3 linked regions of the Rattus norvegicus genome follow. The protein of the gene in region 2 interacts with the protein of the main gene of each other region in a biochemical or structural test. Links are inferred from orthologs where the notes say so. Each region holds a gene or a part of one and is shown on either strand. Other genes may lie near its edges. The genes, in order: Prkaca, Rrad and Camk2g.

Region 1 (4,106 bases), about 41 Mb from region 2:
AGAGTGTCAGGCCTCTAGTGTTGGTGGCACAGTGGGAAACTGACCACGTTCTGACAGTGCAGCTAGAACCAACTGAGTGAGGTTCAAGCTCAGTGGTACAGTGGTTACTTAGCAGGGAGTAGGCAACCTGTTCAATCCCCAGCACTGCATAAAAATAAAATTTAAAGATGAGCATCCAGAAGGAAGCAGAATGGCTCTCCGCCTGCCCGCGGAGGGCAGGTTATTGCTGGCAATGTCTAGGCAATGAAGATTAGTTAAGAGCAAGGAACTAGTCTGACTGTGCCTCCACAAAATGGGAATATGACAGTCCCAACATGCTAGGTACAAGAAGTAATGTAGTTGGCCTGCGTCCGTTGTTACTACTTTTCAGAGGCCTCGGTTGAGCCTCAGCAAAGAGTGGACACTGAGAGTCTCCTCCCAGCCCGCCCTAAGTTCTGGGTCCAGCATCTCCTTGCAACTCCGGTTGTGTCGCGAGCAAACCAAAGCGGACCCGGAGCTGCTTGGGTCACGGCTGCCCAGTGTCAGGCCTTATGAATGACGCCGAACGGCGCCCGGCGACCTTTGACCCTCAGCTCCAGCCCGCCCCTACCCCCCCCCCCCCCCGGCAGGTGGACAGCCGCTGCGCCGGCTCGCTGTGGCGTCAACCTCTGGCCCGTAGCCGCTGCCGCACTGGGCAGGGGCGGGAGACTGCAGCGCGCACAGTGCCGCACGGACGTCCGCCGGGCCGCCTCCCGCACTTTGCAGCGCCTGCCACCCGGCCACCCTCCAGCCACCGCCGCCGCAGCCTCCGCCCCGCCCGCCGCCCGGGCCGCAGCTTGCGCCGCTGCCCCGCCCTCTCACCCCGGGACTGACACCCGCCGGGGCCGCGCGTCTCCGCCAATCGACGGCTTCTCAGGGCGAGCCCCAAGCCCCATCGGGCTTTTTGACCAATCACATGGGTTCGCCCGCCCGACTGCGGCCTCACAAGCCCGTGAATGGACGAGAGTCTGCAACTCGCGTCACTCATCCAGGAGCCTATGGTGGCGCGGGAGAGTTCCTGAGGGCCAATGAACAACGGCGTGGGGCTGTCAGTCAGGGAGGCCTGAACCAATGGAAGGTGGACTGCGGGGGCGTCACGGACAGAGGACTTGGGCTGAGGCTCCCCCGCGGGCGGGCGCAGAGAGACGCGGGAAGCAGGGGCTGGGCGGGGGTCGTGGCGCCGCAGCCAGCGCAGCCAGCCCCAGGGGCCGCCGCCTCCGCTGCCCAGCGCGCTCCGGGGCCGCCGGCCTCCTTAGCACCCGCCGCGTCGCAGCTCCGGGACTGGCCCCGGCCGCGACGCCGCCGCGATGGGCAACGCCGCCGCCGCCAAGAAGGGCAGCGAGCAGGAGAGCGGTGAGTGCCTGGCCGTCACCCTGATCTTCGCTACGTGCGGCCTGCCCGCGCAATGCCCATCACTGCATGGCCCCTCCCCCATATGCCCCCCCAATCCTGTCTGCTTGCACCCCTGCCTGCTGCCTGTACACGTTGGGGTCCGATCACCGCAGAAGTACCTTGCCCCCAGTAGGGCCCCCGTGCCCATGGCCTACCATCCCCCACTGCAAAGGCCGTGCCCCCCCACCCAGCTGTCACTGCCAACCATTGCATGTATGACCGCCGGGGCCCCAGATGGGGCCCTGTCACCATCCCACCCCCTCTTCTCCTAGTCCCTTTCCCCAGATTCTAATCTCCCCTCCCACTTCGTCACTCACCTTTCCCACACAGCGCCCCAATGCCTGACCCTGATCCAGGCTCCTGCTAGTCTCAGAAGTGCTGTGGGGTCCACGCTGCAGGGACCTTGGCCACTTGGTGACCACACCCCTCCCCCTCCAGCCCCCGCCATCTTTCTCCTACCCCTGCCCGATTCACCTCATCACAGCCCCCCCCCTTCAGGCCCCCCCTCACCCCACGAGCATTTCCCAGGGCCACCTCCTGCATTGTTTTTCCCTTCTGTGTCACTTGGCATGGGGGACAAGATCTTTCTGGGTCCCTCTGCCCCTCTCATCCTGTCACTCCACCTCCTCCGTGCAATCGTCTGGCCCTGGCTGGGGTGGCAGACTGTTTATGAACCTAGAGAGCTGCTTCTGCGCTTCCACATCCAAGTTCGAGCTGGTCTTGCTCAGAGCCATTGCGTCTGTCCTTTTTCTTGGGTTGCGGGTGAGGTAAAGCGGCAGAACATCCTTCTGGCCTGCCTGAGGTCTGGGTTCTTTGGAAGGAAGGCCCCTCAATAAATGGTCGTTTCACAACTGCTGTTCTGTCCCTCACCCAGTCCCTGGGGCTGGTTCAAAGCTGAGGATGAAATGAATAGCAAAGGCTCATTGGACTTGAATTGGGATGATTAGAAAGAAGAATTGCATGGGTTGGAGTAACCCCATCCAGCAATAGGTGACATTAATAATTTTGTTTGCTTAAGACAGATGGATTCTGTGTATACTGAGGGCTCACCTAGAATGAGTGTATTCTTTCCCCCATCCATAAACATGCTGAATTTTTCCAGCCAGGGAAAAAAAAGTAATTCCGTATTTGAAATTACTTCCGAAAGGGTCTTGAGCCCTGTCCCCAATACTTCCATGTCTTAAAGTGGTGTCACTCTAAGCCGTAGAAGTATTGCAGCTGAGAAGTCCTTCCAGTTACCCAAAAAGGAGGCTCTGATCTGCTCTGCCCTTCTCAGTGACTGAGTCCCCAGAATGCCACTGAAGAAGCCCAAGAACTTCCTGCCCCTCCCCCCCCCCCACTTTCAAACAGCAGAGCTCAGCCCAGCAGAGGAGCAGCCTTAAGAGGCCTGGCATTTCACCGATGGGCGGGGGACAGAGAGGCAAGTGCTTGTAGTTGAGGGCTTGATGACAGAGGAGCAGGTGGGCAGTGCCCAAAAAGGTCTTGGGCTTGGGCTTGGAGGGGCCCCGGGGCAGAGGGAGAAGGGCTAAGCTGCTTTGGCTGGTGAGGCCCACCAGGAGGTAGATGGTACGTACAGTGGACTGTACACACAGTGGACTATGTGCTGCAGTGGCCTCTTTGAGAGCCGAGCACGGTGCTAGAGAAGTTTAAAGCATATCAGACATACACAACAGAACTGAACCACAGAGCAGGGAAGATCCCAAGGAAAAGATCAGGAGTGAGCTGTACGGATGAAATCCGTGCATCAGGAGGGCTAAGTTAAATGGTTACCACAGGCATACTCACTTTGATGGTTTTTGTCCAAGTGAGCCATCTGAGTTTGATACAGATGATGGCTTACAGGCAGAGTTCACATCCAGATCTGTCTACCGGCGGCATATCTCCTGGACCCCGCAATGCCTCGACTCAGACATTCTTTTGTTTGTTTTGGTTTTTAAAGGCAGGATCTCACTGTATAGCTCTACCTGGCCTGGAACTTGAAATGTAGACCAGGCTGGCCTCAACTCTCAGAGATCCGCCTGCCTCAGCTTCCCCAGAGCTGGGATTAAAGGCGAGCATCATCGTGTCCAGCCTTCAACTCAGACGCTAAAGGTGCGTCAGCAGGAGTTAAACCCCAGTCATGTTTTAACTTAAAATGATAAACCCCACAGTAGTGTGTATTGACAGTACCAGCAACCCAAGAGGCTGAGGGAAAGGATTGAGTTAAGCCCAAAACTTAAAGGCTAGCTTGGGTAACAGCAAGACCTTGCATCAAAATACAAAACCTGTGTCCTACAGGATGGCCCTCAGGTAAAGATGTTTGCTGTGAAGCCTGTCCATCTGAATTGTCTCCCTGGGATCTGCATGGTGGAAGGAGAGAGCTGGCTCTTCACGTTATCCTATGACCTCCACAAGAATGTGTGTACACACACAATAAATGTATAGAGACATTTAAAAACATAAAAGAGGGCCAGAGTCTCAAACCAGCAAGAGAGGGACTGTGATCCAGAAGGAACTACGTTCGAGGCCAGCCTGGGCCACAAAGGAGACACAGCCTTTAAAAGAAATAATAAACACTTTGCTCATTTCCATTCATAGGTCCTAAGCTATTCCTGCCTGAGATTGCTAGGCCTGTTGTAGTCTCTGGTACGGGCTTGTCATCCCAGCTACTTGGGCAAGAGAATCTTAAATTCTAAGATAGCCTGGGCAATTTAAGG
Region 2 (4,259 bases):
TGGCCTTAGAGAACAGAGAGGTCATGGCAGGACTTGGACTTGGCACGAAAGGCCATCTTGCGGCTGTTGCGAGCTACTATGCGGCCCAGAAAGCGTTTGGCCTTCTTGCCAAGGCTCTCCCGTCGTCGAGTGCCAGCTTGTCGACGAGCATTATCCTCTTTGCTGTCCCTGCGCAGGCGTATCTGACGCACAACACCCTCGAACAGTGCCTGGACGTTGTGATGCAGTGCTGCGGAGGTCTCGATGAACTTGCAGTCGAAGACCACTGCGCAGGCCCGGCCCTCTATGTGATGGGGACAGACATATACCAGTTAATGATGGGAGAATGCTAACTCAAACCCTGGCCATATCCGGCAGCTATGACTCAAGGATAACAGAAGGAACCCTAGATCCTTCCTAGAGACATGGAGATCCCATTTCCTATACCGAGAATCCCAAACATTCCTGGGGTCACTTGATAGACAGAATATGCCTCCAAAGTTTATGGTGGCCCACAAAAAAGGCATTCATATATTTAAAGCCCAGCATTTAAAATGTATTCTGTAATAGTGGACCAAGGCAAACAAGATTATTTGACGGCAGCTATGTATTTTATGACTTGCTACTACAACAAATAGCCCAACATACTGGGGTCGTGGCAAGATCACCTAGTTTGAAGTCTCGGTACTGCATGCCACAAAAGAGGATGCTAAAGCCTGATGAAGAAGCACCAGGCTTACGCCGAGACTGGTAGGGCCTGGAATTGGGTTCTGACTTCCTGATTCTCTACATGTTTGCCCATTTCTCCAGCCTCACTCTTGTCTCCTGTCAGGCATGGACCCAACGAGCAGTTGTGGAAAGTGCTTTCGTGTCTCATTCCTCCTAGCAGATCTGATCCTCCCCTCCCCCTTTGTTTTAGGTAGGCCTTTGGGAGCCTGATGGACCAGCAACACCTCCCCCACCCTCCAACACCAAGTTTTCTTCCTGAACATTTTTAGCCACTGATGATCCCCAGGGACTCAAGCTGAGCCAAGACCAGCTGGCCCACAGCCCAGCCAGGATCTCCCTCCCTTTCCTGACCCAATGCCTGCTTACCATCCACAGAGACCTCACGAGAGCGCACCAGATCGCTCTTGTTGCCCACTAGGATGATGGGCACATTGTCTGTCTGCCGTGCCCGCCGCAGCTGGACCCGGAGTTCTGAGGCTTTCTCAAAGCTGCCCTTGTCCGTTATTGAGTACACAATGACATATGCATCCCCCATGGCCATGCAGTGGCCAGGCAGCCAGCAGCCTCCATCCTGGAGGGGACACAAATGCATACACGACCTTGTAATTCCTAGCAAGACCCTTCTCCAGCTTTGCTTCCCCTCGTTCTCTGTGACCCAGTCTGCATCCTACCTGTTCCCAAATGTCATAGACCATTAGTGATGCTTCTTCTCCATCCACAGTGATAGAACGGTCATATGTGTGCCCTAGGAAGGAAGCCAAGAGCCAAGTTATCAGTTGGCTGTCAAAGTTCCCAGTGTCCACCTTCTTCTTCTGACCACACCCCCTGCTTCTTCTCTGAGTCCTCTGATAATTCTCATCCACTAGCAGATGGTTGCTATGCTCAAACAACACGGACAAACCTGGGAGCTAGGGACTAGAGGACATGACCTCCATCTCTATGTCCCCAAACTATTGAAGTACTGAGTGTCCAGGGATCCTGCTGCCTGGGTACAGAGTGGGTGTGATCATATTGGCTGGAGTTAGCATAGTGCCTGTCGCAAACCCCTGGAGACCTTGGCCACCTAACTTTCCTCTTCTAGAAATTTCCCCGGATTTTGTTTCTGCCAGCCCCAGCAGGCAGCTACATTTCTCTGCTCCAAGCCACAGAGAAATCGTATCTGGCACTCTACACTCTATTCTGGACACTTCTTCTCTGGACTTCTTCAAGGACCAGCACATGGGTAGGGGAGAGGGGGTGGCAGCAAGTAGGGAGTAAGTGGCTCTTCTCCTTTAGTTTCTCCATCTTGGACGCGGAGGAATAACATGATTCAAAAATGCCTTGAAATTTCATAGAATTTGCCACTTTTAGTCCAGCTCCACTGCCTCCCAACTATCTTTATCTAAACAGCCCAGTTCTCTCACCTGCTGCTTCTGCTTCAGGTCCGTCTTCTATACCACCAAAGATGCGCGCCAGAGCGCTCTTGCCCACACCAGGTGCCCCCAGCAGCAGCACCTTGTAAACGCCATCCTCTGAGCCGCTGTCTCCAGAACTGAGCGAATCGGAGGAGCCTTCAGGCCAGTCCAGCCTCTGCCCCTGTGTCCGAGTTCCAGCTGCAGTCGCTGCCAGGGAGCCCGGGGTTAGCGCCGCCTGAAGGTCTCGCTCGTCCACCGGCATGCTCCTGCGGTGCAGTGGGGGTGCCGGGCCCCATGGGGTGCTGCCTCGACGACGGTCGCGCTCCCGGCCCGCGCTACGGCTGCCGCCCGCTCCGCTGCCTCCATTCAGGGTCATCGTGTCGGACGCCGTCTGAGGAACCAAGAATTGGGATAGCAGCTCTATCGCGGGAACAGGCAGGACCCTGGAGTCAAGAAAGATGCTCAGGATGAAGGACCTGCCAGAACCTACTGCCAGCCAGGAGGTCTCTACACCTTCACCTGGGTCCCCATTCATCCCCCAGCCCAGATGGTGTCGTCCACCCCGCTTTGTCAGGACACTCACCGACTCTTGCACAGATGCTATCAGCACTTGATCAGCGCTGCGGCACAGACCACTGGGGAATCAGATAGACCCACTCGCAGACCCCTGTTCAGACTCGGAGCCTTGTCTCTGTCACGTCTGCAACCTTTTTCTCCTTGATGGCCTTCTCAGCCCCTCAGCTGGCGCTGGATCGCGGTTCTAGGGCCTCCTATTTAAACCTCTACCAGCCCTTACCCCTACCCCGCTCCCGCCTCTGCTCCCGCCCCCGCCCCCGCCCCCGCCCCCGCCCCCGCCCCCATCCTCCCGGGCTGCTGCCCAGGCTGACGCATCCACTCGCCCCCGGGAATCCCCCCCTCCCTTCTAGGACCTCAAACCCGCCAGGGGCGGGGCAGGTAGCTGGAAAGAGGCTGGCACAGGGCGGGGGAGGGGGGTGTTGGAGGGGAGGTATGGGGACAGGGAGTGTGAGTTGAGGAGGGTGCACCAGTGTGTGTAATTCAGAGGCTGCCAGTAGTGGGTAACTGGACCAGTGAAGTACAACTCCATCTGGAGAAAAATTAGGTCTGTCTCTTTAAAGATGAATTTTCTCTTCTTTGGCTCAGTCCTGGCTTGTTACCCAAGCTAATAGACATGTTATAGACTGGACACACTCAGAACCAATGGAGCCCATTCCTCCAGGCATGGACCTAACCAGAATTTAGAGGGTCTTAAACCAGCATTTCTAGCTTCAACACTAAGCCCTTCCTATTCCTGTCCTTGTTCTGGGACTTAAAGAGTCTCCCAAAGAGACTGCCCTTCAGGTTGAGGGTTGGTGTCATCCATGAATTCTTAGGGTCCCTTAGAAGGTTCAGGGGGTGCAATGGAGTCCTCTGTTAGGGCCTACTAGGTGCTTGTCTCCTGGAGAGAAACTACAGGGCCAGAAAAAGGAAAACACAAACTCAAGTCCCCACCCTAACTCTAAGCATGCCAAGCAGCTGCCAGTAACTGCTAAAAATATCTAACCCTGGCCCTAGCCATTTTGTTTCTGGGCATGAGGCTGCCCAGAGTTGGGGAGATCCAGGCTGACAGTGGGGGACTCCAGAAAGAGCCAACTCCTTTAGAGTTTTCAAGTTTTTCCTGCTCCTGAGCCCCATGCTAGGCCTCATCTCACCGAGGAGGGGCATAAATGGTTATGGGCAAGGGGTAGCTTTTAGGAACTAGTCCCAGGGCCTCTGCTCTGTTTAAGACTCACTTCTCATCCATACTAAGTACCCATGTGCCAATGGCAAAACTAGATGAAGTACCATCACTGCCTCGGGTCTCCCCTTTCTCAGACACTGAGTGAAAACAGGTATAGTCTCAGAGGGAAGGAGAGCTGATGGGCGGGCTGTGGGTCTAGTGCCCAGTCTGCCTCTCTCCCAGCGTTCAGGTTCCCAGTCCTGAACTACTGGATATCATAACTATTCTTTCCTTGCTCATCTCTAGGGTGAAGATTGGGCGCGCGTGTGTGTGTGTGTGTGTGTGTGTGTGTGCCTGCCTGCCTGCCTGCCTGCCTGTCTGTCTGTCTGTCTGTCTGTGTACTGGCTGTGACGTACTTTGGGACAGGAACTTGCTCTTAG
Region 3 (2,937 bases), on a different chromosome or scaffold from region 2:
GGTACGGCAAAGTCCAGGCCTTCAGTCCCGAGGCCACGCTTCACAGTTGCCTCCACAGCGGGCTGGGAGCGCTGCGTTCTCTCCCAAGTAGGTCTGTTAGCCATGGAGTTTTCTTCTTTCTCATACTAGGTGTCAATGTATATTCTGAAGAAGTCCACTCCTAGACCTGGAGTGATCAGGTCACCACCGGGGCTGCAACCACAGCATGGCTCTGTCCATGACCAAAGCTCTGTCAAGAGTCCTTGCCTGGTCCCCCCCGAGTCCATGGGGGCCTGAGGCCAAGCTCACCTCTTCAAAGCCAGTGGGTGAGCCCTCTGTTCACGCCTGGATGAGCATCATACAAACTCCTGCCTTCTTCAAGCCCAAAGGCTATCAGTTGTTTTAAAACGCATCATGGTATGAATTCCATTTTTTTTTAAAACAATCTTATTTTCTTTTTTTTTTCTTAAATGTAAAAAACACCTCAGTACAGCAGAGACAGACACGAAGGGCGGGCGGGAGGGCTGCATGCAGGGGCGTGCATTGGCTGCTGCCGCTTTGTAATGTAATTGTTTTAAACCTCAAATGGACAGGACCGCGGCTGTCACTCAGGCCCTCCAGAGTCACTGACTTCGAAGGTTCAGCCTCCAGCTGGAATCTCCTAATGCCCCTGTCAAACAGAGCAGGAGGTGGCAACAGAAGAGAGAAGGACAGTGAGAACACAGGTAAATTCACGGGGTTTTGGTACACGGCACACTTGGCTAAGTCCTTGAATGGGCGGAACAGGAGAGCTAATGTTTAAACACGACTGTCTCACATTTGAGTGCCTACTCAATGCTTTACATATACTGTCTCACTCCTTACCATCCATCCTGGAATGGAAGCAGGTACAATATCCCCCGTCTTTGATAACTAAAGAAACTAAGGCTTAGCAGGGGAAGAATCCTAAGTCTGGAGTCTACCTGACTACAGAGCAAAGCTTATCAAAACTATGTTGCCCAGTCTGTGGCTCCCCTCTGGGGGTGGGGGGCATACCTCTTCCTAGAGTGCCACCTTCTACCCTTCTCTTACTCCTCCGACCTTAGCTATCCAAGCCACCTCCCCTTCCCAGCCACCTCTCCCTTCCCAGCCACGCCCCCTTCCCATCCACCTCTCCCCTACCAGGAGCACCTGTGCCTGAGCTCACTGCAGCGGTGCAGCAGGGGCTCCTGAGCAGTGATAGTGGACATTGAGCCACTTGCCATCCCGGCGGTGCCACACCCGGGTCTCCTCTGACTGACTGGTGCGAGGCCGACCCTGCCCATCGATGTACTGGGTGAGCCGGATGTAGGCGATGCAAGCTGCGTCCTCGCCGATGACATGGACATGTGGGTTTAGGATGGTGGTGTGGATAGGCTTGCTGTTCTTGGACAGGACTGCAGGGGGCGGGGCGGGGGAGGGGAGGGGAGGCAGCAAGCATTAGGCTCAGACAGTCACACACACACTCCCACCAGGCTGCACCTTCTGAGACTAGCTCCAGCAGCCATTTCTAGAATCCCCAAGTACTCCAACATCGCCCACCAGAGGCCGCAATCCTCCATTATATTGGTTTCATCCAAAAGGAAGAGAAATGTGGGTAATACTCGCAACTACTCTTTTTTTTTTTTTTTAATTCTTTTTTTTATTTATTTTTTTTTCCGGAGCTGAGGACCGAACCCAGGGCCTTGCGCTTGCTAGGCAAGCACTCTACCACTGAGCTAAATCCCCAACTCCCGCAACTACTCTTTTCATTAGGTATTTCATTAGGTTTTACAGGCGAGAGGGATGTCTGTCTTTACTGATTTTTTTTTTCACTATATGCAGGGGGAAAAACAAGACTCAAATTAAATAAAATATTTAAACTCAGGACCGGGCAGCTCTAATAAAAACCCGTGGCTTTTGTACTTGGTTAGGCTGGTATTTAAAAGTCCTAGGCTTATTTTGCCCCTAGCTAAGACTAGAAGAGAAAGATCATAAAAGCGATACATTCAAAATCAATTTGTGACTTGAAAAGAAAAGGCACATCAAAGGTTGAAATCCCCAAAGCACTCAGCTCAGGATCCCACCAAGTTCCCAGGGTTCTCTGGGTTTGGAGAAGTGGAGGGAGCTGGACTGACTGCCACTCACTCCCAGCATATGCCTTGCATATGGTGACGGCTTGGCTCAGATTCCCCGAGTTTATTCCAACACTACAGAGGCTGCAAGAGCCCTCCTTTAGAACTACGATAAGCACTGCCCTGGCTACTAGAATTACTTAGATAGCTAAGGGATTACACAGGCAGCTACAGTGTGGGGAAATCACATGCAGAGTCAGTGGGGGGAAAACAGCTACAACAGAAAACTCAGGGCAGAACAGGAGACACCAAGGATAAAGTGGATAAGGGGAGGAAATCTGAAGAATGAGAGTTAGGAAAGTAGAGATGGTGTGATGATTCAGTTCTGGGACTCCCAGGAGCTTATAGACCTCCCTATCCAGATGCTTGGCTCCCTCGATGTCCAGGGTGTCCTCGCCACAATTTCTGACCTCACAGTTCACCACTACTGCTGTTACTTGCTTACACATTATCCTGTTTGCAATTCCCTTTACTGGGAACCCTGCAGACACAGACCTCCATTATTACTCGCTGAGATCATCTTGAGTTAATGTTGAAGAGTTTACAGTCTGTCTTGGAGACAGGTGCTGTTTAAACAAATGCAGTGACCCTAACGGTGATGGTCAGCAGCGCCTTGATACAGCTGCCAAGTGAATGGGCACTCAGCCTCTGAGCAGTGCCCATTAAAAGCCAGCAGGACACGAGGAAGGTCAGATAACGCAAAGAGAGGTCACAGGGTAAAGGGTGGGTAGGGACAGAGGCAGGGGGAAGGGGCAGGCAGGAGTTTATCAGCAGCACGAACCCACTCACGATTCTCAAAGTAAAACTTATGGAAATCCATCCCCTC

Evidence for each region.
Region 1: of the proteins of Rrad (region 2) and Prkaca, one has a biochemical effect on the other in vitro, tested with the Homo sapiens proteins (2 studies listed by BioGRID). The link is inferred for Rattus norvegicus from reciprocal best matches to the Homo sapiens genes RRAD and PRKACA.
Region 3: of the proteins of Rrad (region 2) and Camk2g, one has a biochemical effect on the other in vitro, tested with the Homo sapiens proteins (2 studies listed by BioGRID, with this or other methods). The link is inferred for Rattus norvegicus from reciprocal best matches to the Homo sapiens genes RRAD and CAMK2G.

What each region holds. Positions count from the first base shown.
Region 1 is NC_086037.1:41,080,273-41,084,378, reverse strand, and holds the start of Prkaca (cAMP-dependent protein kinase catalytic subunit alpha), read left to right. Parts: upstream 1-1,189; 5' UTR 1,190-1,325; coding exon 1,326-1,371; intron 1,372-2,036; exon of another isoform or gene 2,037-2,304; intron 2,305-4,106.
Region 2 is NC_086037.1:359,259-363,517, reverse strand, and holds the start of Rrad (GTP-binding protein RAD), read right to left. Parts: upstream 2,843-4,259; 5' UTR 2,686-2,842; intron 2,546-2,685; exon of another isoform or gene 2,494-2,545; 5' UTR 2,479-2,493; coding exon 2,112-2,478; intron 1,454-2,111; coding exon 1,380-1,453; intron 1,280-1,379; coding exon 1,075-1,279; intron 284-1,074; coding exon 6-283; 3' UTR 1-5. UniProt on the Homo sapiens protein: May regulate basal voltage-dependent L-type Ca(2+) currents and be required for beta-adrenergic augmentation of Ca(2+) influx in cardiomyocytes, thereby regulating increases in heart rate and contractile force.
Region 3 is NC_086033.1:3,608,055-3,610,991, reverse strand, and holds the end of Camk2g (calcium/calmodulin-dependent protein kinase type II subunit gamma), read right to left. Parts: coding exon 2,901-2,937; exon of another isoform or gene 2,893-2,900; intron 1,395-2,892; coding exon 1,162-1,394; 3' UTR 1,150-1,161; exon of another isoform or gene 1,141-1,149; intron 650-1,140; 3' UTR 553-649; downstream 1-552.